Linked DNA regions of Mus musculus: all the other regions are reported to be linked to region 1. Evidence: microRNA targets listed by miRTarBase, many of them from high-throughput screens and not tested one by one. Region 1 holds a microRNA gene; each other region holds the end of a gene's coding sequence.

Region 1 (3,121 bases):
CTGTGGCACAGGGGTGTGTGCCTCTACCTCCCCCCAACACACACAATAATGATAATAAATATATATTTTTTTAATTTAAAGTTCACTTTACAAAGGAATACAGACTCTCCTTTTTTAAAAAAAATAAGGTCTTATTCTGGAACTCAATGTGTAGCCCAGTCTGGTCTCAAATTCTAAGCAGTCCTCCAGTGTTAGCCTCCCAAGTGACAGATGTATGCCACTATACCCTGCTTTCAGAATTCTTTCAAAAAGTTAGAAACTACTAAAATGACTCTGGAAACAGGTCTGGTTTAGTAAGTTATGGTAAGTTAGTGCTCATTTAATATAGCCATTAGAGCTGGAAAGTTGTTCATGACCTTGAGTGAGAAAAGAAAGTCGGCTTTCATGCTTGTCATCCCAGCAGTCAGGAGGAGCAAGAGTTTAGGGTTATCCTCCAATAGAGGATGTAAGGCTAGTCTTTGCTATAGGAGACTGTTTTTAAAACAAAAACTTAGGACTGGAGAGTTGGTCAGTGGTTCAGAACACTGGGTTCTCTTTCAGAGGATTCAGATTTGATTCCCAACACCCACATGGCTGCTTACAACAATTCATAAGTTCTAGTCTCAGGCTCTGACACCCTGTTCTGACCTCTGTAGTTACTAGCCACACATGTTGTGCACAGGCATAGATGTTGGCAAAACACCCATACACATAAAAACCTACAAAAAAGAAAGAAAATATTTTTTTAAAAAGATTTATTTATTTTTTTATTATATGTAATAAGTACACTGTAGCTGTCTTCAGACACACCAGAAGAGGGAGTCAGATCTCGTTACAGATGGTTGTGAGCCACCATGTGGTTGCCGGGATTTGAACTCAGGACCTTCAGAAGAGCAGTCGGGTGCTCTTACCTGTTGAGCCATCTCACCAGCCCAGAAAATATTTTTAAAAAGTGAATTGTCTTAAGCTGGAGAGATGGCTCAGCAGTTAAGAGCACTGACTGCTCTTCCAGAGGTCCTGAGTTCAATTCTCAGCAACCACATGGTGGCTCACAGCCATCTGTAGTGGGATCCGATGTACTCTTCTACTGTGTGTCTGAAGACAGCTATAGTGTACTCAGATAAAAAAAAGAAATAACTTTTTTTTTAAAGTGAATTGCCTTATGTATCAAACAAGATATTTTTTAAAAAGTGGTAGCTATCACAATGTATGGACTGCCTGCCTTCCTACGTATGGCAAATCTTACCTGCTGGATTCTCTAAAGGCATAGAACTAACAGAATAGGGCTGAAGAGATGGCTCAGTGGTTAAGAACACTGACTGCTCTTCCGGAGGTCCTGAGTTCAAATCCCAGCAACCACATGGCTGGCTTACAACCAGTGTACTCCAATACGTTAAATAAATAAACCTTTAAAAAAACTGACAGAGCTGGGCGTGGTAGCGCACGCCTTTAGTCCCAGCACTTGGGAGGCAGAGGCAGGCAGATTTCTTCTGAGTTCGAGGCCAGCCTGGTCTACAAAGTGAGTTCCAGGACAGCCAGGGCTACACAGAGAAACCCTGTCTCAAAAACACCAAGGAAAAAAAAACTGACAGAGTAAATATGCATATTGAAAGTAGATGTATTAGCCTGGTTCAGATAGTTCAACAACTGTCTGAGTGTAAAGCTTGAAAATCTAGTAGTTATTTACTCCACAAGGCTGGATGTCTCTGCAATCCCTGTCTGGTGCTACAGTCCCAGAAGATTCCTGGATAGCTGCTAGTCTCAGTCTACATGGGAATCCTAAAGCAGTTTTATTTAATACCAGCTGCAGCAACAGAATAGATGAATTTGCCGTAGAGAGTAAGGACAAACAGGCAAAAAGAAGGTTTTTCTTGTGTCTTTATATGTGGGCTGCCAGTTTTAGGGTGGGTCTTTCTGCTTCAAATAGTCTGATTCATAAAATTGCTCACCGAAGTGCCTGCCAGCTTGGGTGTTAGTTGATTCCAGATGTTGTCATGTTGACAACCAAGATTTTTCATCACTAGCAGGGACACCACATATATTAGACATAGGGACCCAAGGGAGTGTTACATTGAACCATAAATTATCTGTAACTAGTAGGATTCTGTGTTGTATTGTGTTGTTTTACTTTGTTGAGGCTGGCCTTGAGCTCATTCTATAGTAGAGGCTGCTGGCCCTAAATTTCTAATCCTCCTTCCAGGTACAGAGATTACAGACATCAATACTATACCCAGATCTTCAATTCCATGCTTTTCTGAATGTTTTGCAGAGGTTCATGTTGCTGGTGATGGCTTTCTTTTTTTTGTTGCTTTGTTTCTGGTATTTATTTATTTATTTTCATTTTTGGTTTTTCGAGACAGGGTTTCTCTGTGTAGCCCTGGCTGTCCTGGAACTCACTCTGTAGACCAGGCTGGCCTCAAACTCAGAAATCCGTCTGCCTCTGCCTCCCAAGTGCTGGGATTAAAGGCGTGCGCCACCACTGCCTGGCCTGGTTTTTAATTTTTATTTTCCGTGTAGGGATGTTTTGCCTGCATGTCTGGATGCAATGCCTGAGGAAGCTGGAAGAAGTTGTCGGATCACCTAGAACTGCAGTTACAGACATTGGGAATTGCCCTGGGGGTGATTTTAGTGGGACCTGGGTCCTCCAGAAGAGCATCCAGTGCTCCTTAACCATTGAGCGATCACTTCAGCCCATATCCTCGCTTTCATTCCAAAGACCCTAGGGATTAAATTCAGATCATCAGGCATGGTGACAAACACCTTTACCCACTGAGTGATCTCACCAGCTTAGGTTTTGTCTTTTTGAGACAGTCTCATGTAACCCAGGCTGACTTCCAAACCTCTGTACAGACGATGCTGACTTTGAAGTCCTAATCCCCCTGGCCTCTACTGCCCAAGTGGTGGGACTACAGGCATGTTCCACACTGTGTTTTGGCCTTGAGTTAGAATGTTTCTAAACCTAAAGGTGTTTATATGATTATTACATGTTTATATGATTTTTAACTATGTTGTTTCAATCAACTGAGTGAACTGTCTGGCTTCCTGGGAGCCTCTGTCCAGGTGAGTGTTAGAAAAAAACATGAAAGGATGGATTGTTCTCCTATCTCATTTAAGTGGGCCAGTCAGTGACAGCTCAGTGGAC
Region 2 (3,121 bases), not on the chromosome of region 1:
ATTCTTTATTTACAATTATTGTCTAGATAAAAAAATTCATAAAAACAGATGAATGGTCATAAATTATTGACCCCCTAATGGGGTGAACTGCCAAACGTATCCCATGCTGCTAGATATAGGACGCAGAAGTGCAAGCTTGTGTATTACAGTGAGTTCTGACAAACCAACCATCTCCTGTGTAGGTGTGTGTGTGTATGGAAGAGTGTGAGAGTGAGGGGCTGGGGCATAGGCTATCTCTCATTCCTGACACCGGGAAGCCAGCACTAATGTCAGGCCTCCTTGCTAGTTTCCTCTGCTCCTGTCTGAGAACCTGGCTCTGCTCAGAGAACCCCTTCCTCTTTGCCCTGGAGGCCTGGTTCCAAAGCCCGAGGACCCCGGTTTGTTAAGAGCAAGAACCCTGGTGGCATGGAATGAGGTCATAGATGCATGGTTGAATGAAGGAGGGCAGGATGAAAAATGTGACAAAGGACTCCCCACCAAAAGTCCCAAACCAATCAAACAACAACAGCAGCAGCAGCAACAACAACAACAACAACAACAAAACCAAACCAAAAACCTATCCTGTTCCAAGGCAGCCCCGGGTTTCCTTCCCTCCCTTGGAGGGGTACTATGGACTGGCTCTGGTGGTGTCTGTACTGGAATCCAGTGAGTACATCTAGGGCTGGTCCACCTGCTGGAGAGGTAGCTCTCTCTCTCTCCTGGATACAATCAGAATCCTTCAGAGATATTCTTCCTTATAGAAAGATTATGGCCAGGTGGGATGGGCAGACTTTGAAGCCCAAACCAAGAACTCAAGTTTTTCACAGCCATCCAGACGTGGGCCCTCCCAGCTGACTATGGCTCTTTTCCCAAGTGGCTGTCATCTTGTTTAGTGAAGAGGTCTCTGGGCCTGGAGGAGGGCTGGGGGGCCAGGCTGAAGAGCGAGGAGGAGCGATTGTGAGGAGGGAGAGAGTGAAGGATGGAGTTCACAAGTGAGGCGGAAAGTGTTTGATTTCCTCGAAGCACGGGACATCATCGGTCATGGTATTCAAAATGTCTTTTGCACTGTACAAGTTTATGGAAAAAGATTGTATGCTGAAAAGTCTCAAAGCAAACTTTGTATTAAATACAAAAGTTCTTTTATGAAAAAAAGCTGAGACCCACAAAGTGCTTAGCAGTAAGAGGCCGACAGACAAGCTCTTATTAAGTGGGATAACTAGTGCTGTTATTGTTGGGAGAGGGGATAGCCACCTTTTCTCACCTGTGATATGGGAAGATATCAGAATGGCTTTCTGTCTGGGAAAGCAGGACTTGCTGTTAAAAGGCTACAGTATATATTGTAACTACAGGAAGACAATTTGGTTTAAAAATCACACTGAATACATCTCAATGTACACATTATAAGGTTCATTCGGATCTAAATAGTGCAGAGAAAAAAGGCTATTCTTCTTCAAAAAGAAAAAAAAAAAAAACAAAAGCAGCAAGCCGTACCAACCCTCATCCAGTATGTCAGCAGTGTCTATGCTGCCGTTTATAAGAAAAGAAACTTCTAAATTACTAACTAAAAAAAAAAAAAAATTCAACACAATAGCATTTGTAATATCTGAACACTACCTTGACTCACAGACAGTGCCAAAGACAACTCAGTTCTGAAATGCTCTCTGTAAACTCAAGCGAGTTTCATTGAGAGAAAAGTCTTCCTTCTCCGGGTGCACTACAGACGTTGACGTCACCAGACCTGGACGGCCGTGTTGCAAACCCAGGAAGCCTTCTCTCCTCTTCTCCCTTGTCTACGGTGGAGTGAGCGAGCGCGTTGCTTAGCTCCTCAGGGTGGATCCTTGGGAGCCGTTGGCTTTCTGCCTGAGCTTCCCACAGTAGTGACATTATTGAACGGAAATAGCAGGCAAAAATCAGAGCATGGCTATCGTAAAACTTCAAGGATGCAATCCAGGGGATGTGTCTGTTGGGCCCGAGCTGTTTGTAAGCATCTTGGCCACCAGTGTCCTTAAACCACACAAATAGCCAAAGACATTATCTACAGGTTTGTAAACAAATTACATTCTTCTTTTAGGACATAAGTTAAAATAGAGCAATTTAAGCAGAAACAAGGCAACATGCCGGCAAAGGAACTTTATATATCCATGTATATATATGTATATATATATATATATAATATCTACTTATCTATACGCACGTATACAGTCTTCAAGAAGTATACGTTGATATAGATACAAAGAAACGGATATAACCTCGTGAGTGTCTGTGGAGTTCTTGGGTTTCATTGGTGCAAACCTACTCTGTGATTTCAAAAAGTTATTAAATTAATCTAGACATTTGAGACCATGCTGGGCAAGCATTTGAAACCTCATAGACCAGTGGACTGAACGAACAGTAGTCTCTGTTCCAGTTCCTGTTTGCAGTTCCCGCCTAAGGAAACAAACAAAAAACTCCCCTCCCTAGCCCTCCAAGAACCAAATGAGGGAGGGGATTAATAGTGTCCAGGTACATTCATGCTGGGGCCACGGTGGCCGGCGGGTGCATGGCTGGTCCGTGTCTGGGCTGGAGCCTGGAAAGGCTCTTTTTTTTTTTAATTAATTCGTTATTATTATTTTTTATGTTTTGGAGAAAAAAAAATCCACGCCACTCTCTGCTCCAGATGACCCCAGGGCAACCCCGCCCAAGGCCTAAGGAGTGAAAAAGAGTTCAAACAGCATGGCTGCCAGAGAAAGGTCTGGTTCCCTCTCTGCTGTGTGGGTTCCGCCCAGTGCTCCTTGCTGTGTCGGGGAGTTGGTGCCTGGAAGGGTGTGCGCCTGGAGGCGGGTGGCGGCGGGTCCATGAGCGTGGCCAGGCGACAGGGGCCTCAGCTAAAGCGACGTCTCCAGGCTGTGGATGGGGCTCCCTGGACTTGAAGAGGTAGCTGATTTGCTCGTGTCGGTCGTCAGGTTGATCCCGCTGTCGATGGCGCTATTGTTCTTGTTGAGCGAGGACGGCGGGCTCGAGTTCTGCTTGAGCGCGGCATCTTCTTCCAGGTCGGTGTCATCGATGAGGGGGATGTGGGGCTGGGAATCTTCGATCCGGAATTCAGGATGAGCCATGAAGTTATGGATGGAGGTTCGAGACTCGGGTTTTTCTAACCCTTCAT
Region 3 (3,121 bases), not on the chromosome of region 1:
TTTCTCCTGTCTTTCCCCCTCTTTTTTCTCCCTCACCCACTGCTTCCCTCCAGTCTCCTCTCAGCGGATTGGCACCTCCCGTGGCTCTCCACAACCATTTCCCCAAACTAACTGCCTCCCAAGTAGGAATACAGCAGGAGGTTCCAGGTTCATACTTGGCCTTTTGGCTAGTGATGGTTCTATCTCAGCCCACTGTCACCCTGCCAAGGATCAAGGGAACAAAGGTAAGTGTCAGTCAAGTCCCAAGGCTTCTCTGGCTTCATAGGCCCCCTCCTGCCTGCTCCCACCATCTCTAATTTTACTGGTTGGGAACCAGGCAGTGTCTTTGTGGCGACTGTGAGGAAGGGTGGACCTCGCCTCCGCCCACTGCCCGTTTCCTCACTTACTGAGGGAAACCACACCCCTTCCTCCTGCTTCCCCAACTGTCCTAGGTGCTCTTGTTCTCTGCAGCCGAGTTGTCACAACTCCAGAGTCTGGACAGCAAGGACTGACTCAGAGCGATCACTTACAGAGAGAGAGAGAGGAGAGACATGGGTTGGTGTGAGCTCAATGGAAGCCCAGAATGTGATCTTTAATCTTTAATGTGGGCCCCGGGCCCTGCCTCCCCAACCCAGCCCAGATGACATATTTACAGGATGCGGAGGGACCCAGGTCTGGGCCAGGTGAATGCAGCCCCCCTCCTCTCTTTCTTTCCTAGGTGCTGCCAGGCCAGGCACTGCTAGGGTGGGGCAAGGGGATGCAGGAAGTTGGACGCCTCGGGTGGACTGGCCACAGGAAGTCTTGTGTTCTTCACCAAGGACACGAGGACACACATGGTCATGCCCTTGTATGCAGAGGCCTTCACAGTGGTGCAGAGGCGTGGATTCACATGTCTGCACCCAGGTGCACTGCCACCTGTGTGTGCATGTGCCACCTGATGGAGGTCTCGAGGTATCCCAGCAACAATGCAAAATGCAGCCTTTCCCCTGACCTCAGCTAGTGGGGCTGGTGGCCTGCATCTGTCCTGTTGTCACTAGGACAGTGGCACCTGGGGCTCAGCACTGAGGACCCCACTGTGGCCAACACCATCTGGCTACCCCCAAAGCTGCCAGTGGGCCGTAGGCTCCAAGGTGCCGGCCACTGGGTTGGTTTAGATAAATGAAGCCATTTTCTCCATTAGCCTTCCTTGAAGAGTCCTCAGAAATAGGAGGTACACAAACGGGTAACCCTCTGTCTCTGGGGTACCTAGAACTACTACTTAGCCTGAGTGGGGTGTCCCCTAGAAGGGGCTTCCTTACATTGTGGTTTTCGTCCATAAGAGAGCCTGCTCTATCTTGCCCCGCCAGCTCTTAGGGCATGGAGCCAGAGCGTGTGTGTCTCACATAGGGTTGTGAAGGCTGGCCCTGCTGGACTGTGGGAGGGCTGAGCAGCTCTGCCAGCCTTGGTCCAGCTCTCAGGCTGGGCGGCAGCAAGGACCAGTCAGGAGGGCAGACAGGAACATCTGTAAACTTACTACTCAGCCCTAGACTACAGGTGAATAAAACTTGTGACGGGGGTGGGTATGGATTGAGGACTTGAGAATTTTCCTAGTCACCTATAACCATCCACGAGGCCTGCCCTTTCCCCATCTCCTCATACACATCACAGGCACTAACCCTGGGGCACAGGGCCACCCCTGGTTCTCCCTACTGAGAGTCCTCCCTGCTACGATAGCCTGCTCCAGAACAGCCAGGCCACATCAGGGGGCACCTGAACCCTGAGACAGCCCCAGAATCACCCTTCTTGAAAGGGGAAAGGTGGAGTTTTATTTTAGGGACTATATTTTTCTATACCCCCGAATGCATGCACCCTGGCAGGGACAGGATGGTCAGTTTGGAATCGAAGACAGTCTGGGACAGAGTCCCATGAGCTAGGCAGTGGGCACGGGACAGGCAGCTTTGGTTTGAATCAGCACTCTGACTTCTACTAAGCTGGGCAGAGGTGGGGCAAGCAGGGCTGCCCTGCCCCAGCTGGGTTCCCTGACAGGATTCGTTTGGGCCTCCCAGGGAGGGATGTGGGAGGTCTCAAGGCCTCGGGCCCAGGAGGCCCTCCTGTAAGTGTCAAAACATCCCTACAATTGCCCCCTGGCCCCAAGCAACCCAAAGGTTACATTCATCAGTTAAGATTAAGTAGTAAAACAAAAGAGAGAGAGAGAAAGAGAGAGAGAAAGAGGGAGAGAGAGAGAGAGAGAGAGAGAGAGAGAGAGAGAGAGAAAATGTAGATCAGCCCCTTCCCGTGAGGTCCAGGGGAGCTACTCCCCTGGTTCCAGCTGCCTGGTTTTGAAGAGGGGCCACCCAGCTGTCCCCACCAGGCACCGGTCCAGGCCCCAACGTGAGCTGTGGCAGTCTGTGATGATGGAGGCTACATTCACAGGGGGAGACGTGTGCAAGGCCAAAGCCGCATGAGGTGGGATGGGGAACTGGGCAGGAAGCGTCCTCCTCCCGGCCCCTCTACCCAGGTGGTCTGAAAGGCGATATCACAGTCCCAACCCCCAACCCCTGTGCAGCCAGGAGTTGAAGGGTTCGGACCCGGAAGACATTTGCACGGTGCCTCCCTCTGTGGCAGGGTGGAGGCAGCCTCGTGGTTCAGGGCCGAGATGGTGGGTGCCAGGCTCGGAGGGAGCAGGGTGGCACTTAGGCCCCTCCGGACCTGGAATGGAGAGAGGGCATCAGGAGAGGACTTGAGGCTGGGCTCTGAGGGTGAGCCCTCTAGTTGCCCCGCTCCTCCCCAGAGGTCCTGGAGGCATCAAGTCACAAGCTGGCCAGGTGGGGGTTCTGGCAGAGGTCAGACAGCGGTGGCATGGTAGACAAAACAGATGGGCAGGACGCAGGGGGAGGCCCCCTCCTAGCGGAAGGGGTTGCAGGGCACAGTTCCAGCGCCCACCCGGCCATGGGACCCGGCGGCAGAAAGGACAGATGAAGGTGGGCCAGGGCCCAACAGGCGGGTGGGCAGGAGGAAGGGCCTGAGCAGACAGAGGACTCGCTTCCCAGGCTCCCTGCAGGGCTTCGGGAATCGGATCGGTCCCAGCTCCCGGTCAACAGAATGCAAAGGGACGGATGAAATGGAGACAAGGACAGCGGGAGGGATGACGTGGCCGGCATCA
Region 4 (3,121 bases), not on the chromosome of region 1:
TTGTCAAAGTGTTGAATCTGTACACACCGGTTAATGAGTTTGAAGAAAGGGTCTCAGTTTCATTTATCCGCACTATACAGGTAAGAGGCTTTTTCTTTCTTACTGATTTACCACATGGTCATTTGAATGGAATATTCACAATGTTTTTGGAAGGAAAATGTGTCTTTATCTTTTGCTTTTCCATTTTTCTTATTTTGCAGTTATATAAGTTTATAGTCCATAAATAGTTTTAATCAAAAAATTAACATTTTCATTAAATTTTTAATAAAAATTTTATAGAAAAATATCTTGCAAGTTGGAAGGATTGATACCCTGTTTGTCTTTTTTCTTAATCTTCTCAGATGCGGTTACGAGACAGGAAAGACTCTCCACAGCTGCTCATGGATGCAAAACACATCTTTCCTGTCACTTTTCCCTTTAACCCATCCTCCCTAGCCCTAGAAACCATCCAGATCCCAGCCAGCCTGGGCCTGGGCTTCATCGCACGGGTCTGAAGTGCTGTCCAAGCAAACGTAGAAAACGCATTTCTCCTCAGAATATGAACAGTTGTTTCCAGTGAGCTACTGAAAATGCATTTTTAAAGAAAAAGTACTGATTATCTCTAAAGGAAGATGTTAACTGGAAATCCACCCCTCCCCCCAGAATCCTTTCGATTGACCAACCTGGAGGACACCCCTCGTACTGTTACCTTTAAACAACATTTATTCTTTATCAGTTGGAAACCTGAGTTTACATACAGCTGAAAGGTGGCAGGGAGGAGTGAAAGGAAGGATAAAGGGGTGTGTCTTCAGCTGACTGCTTTTAGTTTAAATCTTTAGTGCTGCATTTAAGTGGCATACAAAATACAATCCCATATGTATGAACTGTTGTGAACAAGGCACAAAGAACTGAAGAAAATCACTGAATACATATCATAGCAGCTTTGGAGCCAATCATGTTGATATTGTCAAACTGGATCACAAAAATAAACTGGCAACATTAAAGTAACTGGCCAAGTAACTTCCTTCTCTGTGTCCCTACGGCATAGCGATGTGAAAGCTGCTGTTTGCTAGGCCGTGTAGATGCCCGTTTGCACTGTAGCTTACTGAGCATCTTAAGTGGCTGCTGTGTGCTGTCTCCTGACCTAAGTGAAAGTCTTACTAGGACTATAAACTACGCTTCTCTTTCATCAGCTCTGTTTACAAGTCAACCAGATCAGTTCTAACCGGATTATATACAGTTATCCACAGGTTCATCAGCGCGAGTAGCAGACGCTGGGGAAGTAGAGTTAGACAGAGTGGCTGTTGATGTCATTGCTGATCGGGATTATTACATTGATAAGTCATCTGTGTGGATATCACATCATGGTATAGAGTTGTGTAAAGTTACTTGGTTTTAGTTCCCAAATCTGATTCTTGCCATGCATATATTCAACCTTGACAAGTTTTCTTTTTAATTTATTAGGTGTTAGTTTCAGTCACTATCTGGAAAGGACTGTCAGAATATTTATGACTAAGATCTTGAAACTGTTTATCCTATAAGTTATTCAAAATAGGCATATAAATAAATCATTATAATTCAGGGGGCTTAGGTGTTGCAACCTCTATAAATGTTCTCAGATACCACTGGATACTTTAAAAATATCATATTATAAACACATTAAGAAGACGTATGTAAGAAGTATAGGAGATTATTAAACTTTATAGAGGATTTGGATCAGTGAGATCCAGGTTCAGTATGTCTTCATTATGAAATCCTAGTTAAGCATATTCTCCGTTTTTTTTTTCCTGGAAGTCTTATATAGTAAATCCTTTGGGTTTTGCAAGAGCAAATTCTTAGCTTTCATTCCTCTGGTTCTTAATTACAATCATCAATTTGTATAGTTTAACTGTAAGATGGTCTATAACCGTGACATTTAAATATGTGCAATATTATTAATGAGAGCTAAATGGTTTCAAGTCAATGATAAATACTGTTATTAAACAACAATTATTGTTCATTATCTTATTGAAGCCTGAATGTCCTTGTTTATAAAGTGAGAGGGTTGGACAACTGATTGTTCCAGCCACTTCCCTGTTTACAGTTCACTCATACTTGGTTCCTAGAGAAAGGGGTCACAGTCACTCTGTCCTGCTGTAAAGACCAGTGTTCAGTGCCTGCCAGTTCCCTAGGGTCAATACACTAAGTCACAAGTTTATGTAGCCAAAACCTTTTCTTAACATACATCATTTAGGTACTTTACAACACCCTAATTATTTGTATTATTTGAAAGTTACTTAGTTTAAGTAATTTTTGTTCCATGATAAACTTTTTTTGTTTGCTTAGGGAATTTTGTTTTTGTAGTGCTGGGAATTGAACCCAGGGCCTCATTGTGTTAAATAAGTACATCACTGAGCTACAGTCTCGGTCTTCATTCAGTTGCAGTACATTTATTTATTTGCAGGACCTAAAACACTAATTGTCTTCAGTTTTTCTGGGTTTTCAGTATTGTTTCAGTGAACAGTTAGTGCTTAAAGCCATCTCACTAGTACTGAGTGTGTCAGGTAGAGAAGGGGAGTGGGTGGGAGAACTGCCGAGCAAACAGAGCCACGTGTAGGCTCTTTCCTCACTCAGCCCTGGCAGGCCGCCCACACCCTGCTCCCAGCTTAGTCCTGAGTAGGATGCTGATGCACACCTGAGTCTTGTCTTCAGGACATGCTGTCATATCCACTGTCCCTGAACCCCAGTCTCCTATTTCAGACATCTGTGCCCGACAGTTTCTAGCACTTCCGCACATTTTTCTCTGTTGTCAAGAGCTTGGGCTCCTGTTCTACAGCTGCTCCCATTTTGTGGTTCTCCTGGTTCAGTGACAATGGTTCAGAGTCTATGATTCCAGACTTAGATTCTCTCAAGCTGCTCAGACCCCCATGGTGAGTGTGTGCACTGCTTTGTTAAGGCGGGAGGCACCAGGCTTGTGCTCACGGGCGTCCTTTAGGCTGAGTGAGGACCACTCACCTCTACTCTGTCACCTATACTCTCCTAGCTTCAAATACACACCCAGCCTCTCCCTGCCTGTCCCTTCCCCCACTTCCCTAATCTTTCCAGCCTGATGGCTTTCTGTGGCCCTGGTCGGCATGCCTGGGACTCACCTTTTGGTGTTCTG

Evidence for each region. Region 1 holds the annotated microRNA mmu-miR-3473a (UGGAGAGAUGGCUCAGCA, at 948-965, shown strand). A microRNA usually pairs through its seed, bases 2 to 8, with sites in the 3' UTR of a target mRNA and lowers its output. Matches are read on the target gene's strand: a 7mer-m8 pairs with bases 2 to 8, a 7mer-A1 pairs with bases 2 to 7 and ends in A, and an 8mer does both.
Region 2: the mRNA of Atp2b2 is a reported target of mmu-miR-3473a. Seed matches in the 3' UTR shown: 7mer-m8 at 945-951 and 7mer-A1 at 675-681.
Region 3: the mRNA of Adam11 is a reported target of mmu-miR-3473a. Seed matches in the 3' UTR shown: 7mer-m8 at 2,191-2,197.
Region 4: miRTarBase lists Myo5a as a target of mmu-miR-3473a. The part of its 3' UTR that is shown has no 7-base or 8-base seed match.

Annotation. Positions count from the first base shown.
Region 1 is chrX:162,872,764-162,875,884 of GRCm38, reverse strand. It overlaps Mir3473a (microRNA 3473a), which reads left to right and starts at 890; the gene lies at 890-967. The region is part of intron 4 of Syap1 (synapse associated protein 1); the gene reads left to right.
Region 2 is chr6:113,745,694-113,748,814 of GRCm38, forward strand. Atp2b2 (ATPase, Ca++ transporting, plasma membrane 2) reads right to left here. Exons shown (of 20, transcript NM_001036684.3): 20 at 1-3,121. The coding sequence ends at 2,844. Among named protein-coding and RNA genes, the nearest start is that of Sec13, 6.6 kb to the left of the region's middle.
Region 3 is chr11:102,777,677-102,780,797 of GRCm38, reverse strand. It overlaps Adam11 (a disintegrin and metallopeptidase domain 11), which reads right to left. Exons shown (of 27, transcript NM_009613.3): 27 at 536-2,667. The coding sequence ends at 2,652. Among named protein-coding and RNA genes, the nearest start is that of Adam11, 18 kb to the right of the region's middle.
Region 4 is chr9:75,217,500-75,220,620 of GRCm38, forward strand. It overlaps Myo5a (myosin VA), which reads left to right. Exons shown (of 41, transcript NM_010864.2): 40 at 1-80; 41 at 342-3,121. The coding sequence ends at 494. Among named protein-coding and RNA genes, the nearest start is that of Myo5c, 13 kb to the right of the region's middle.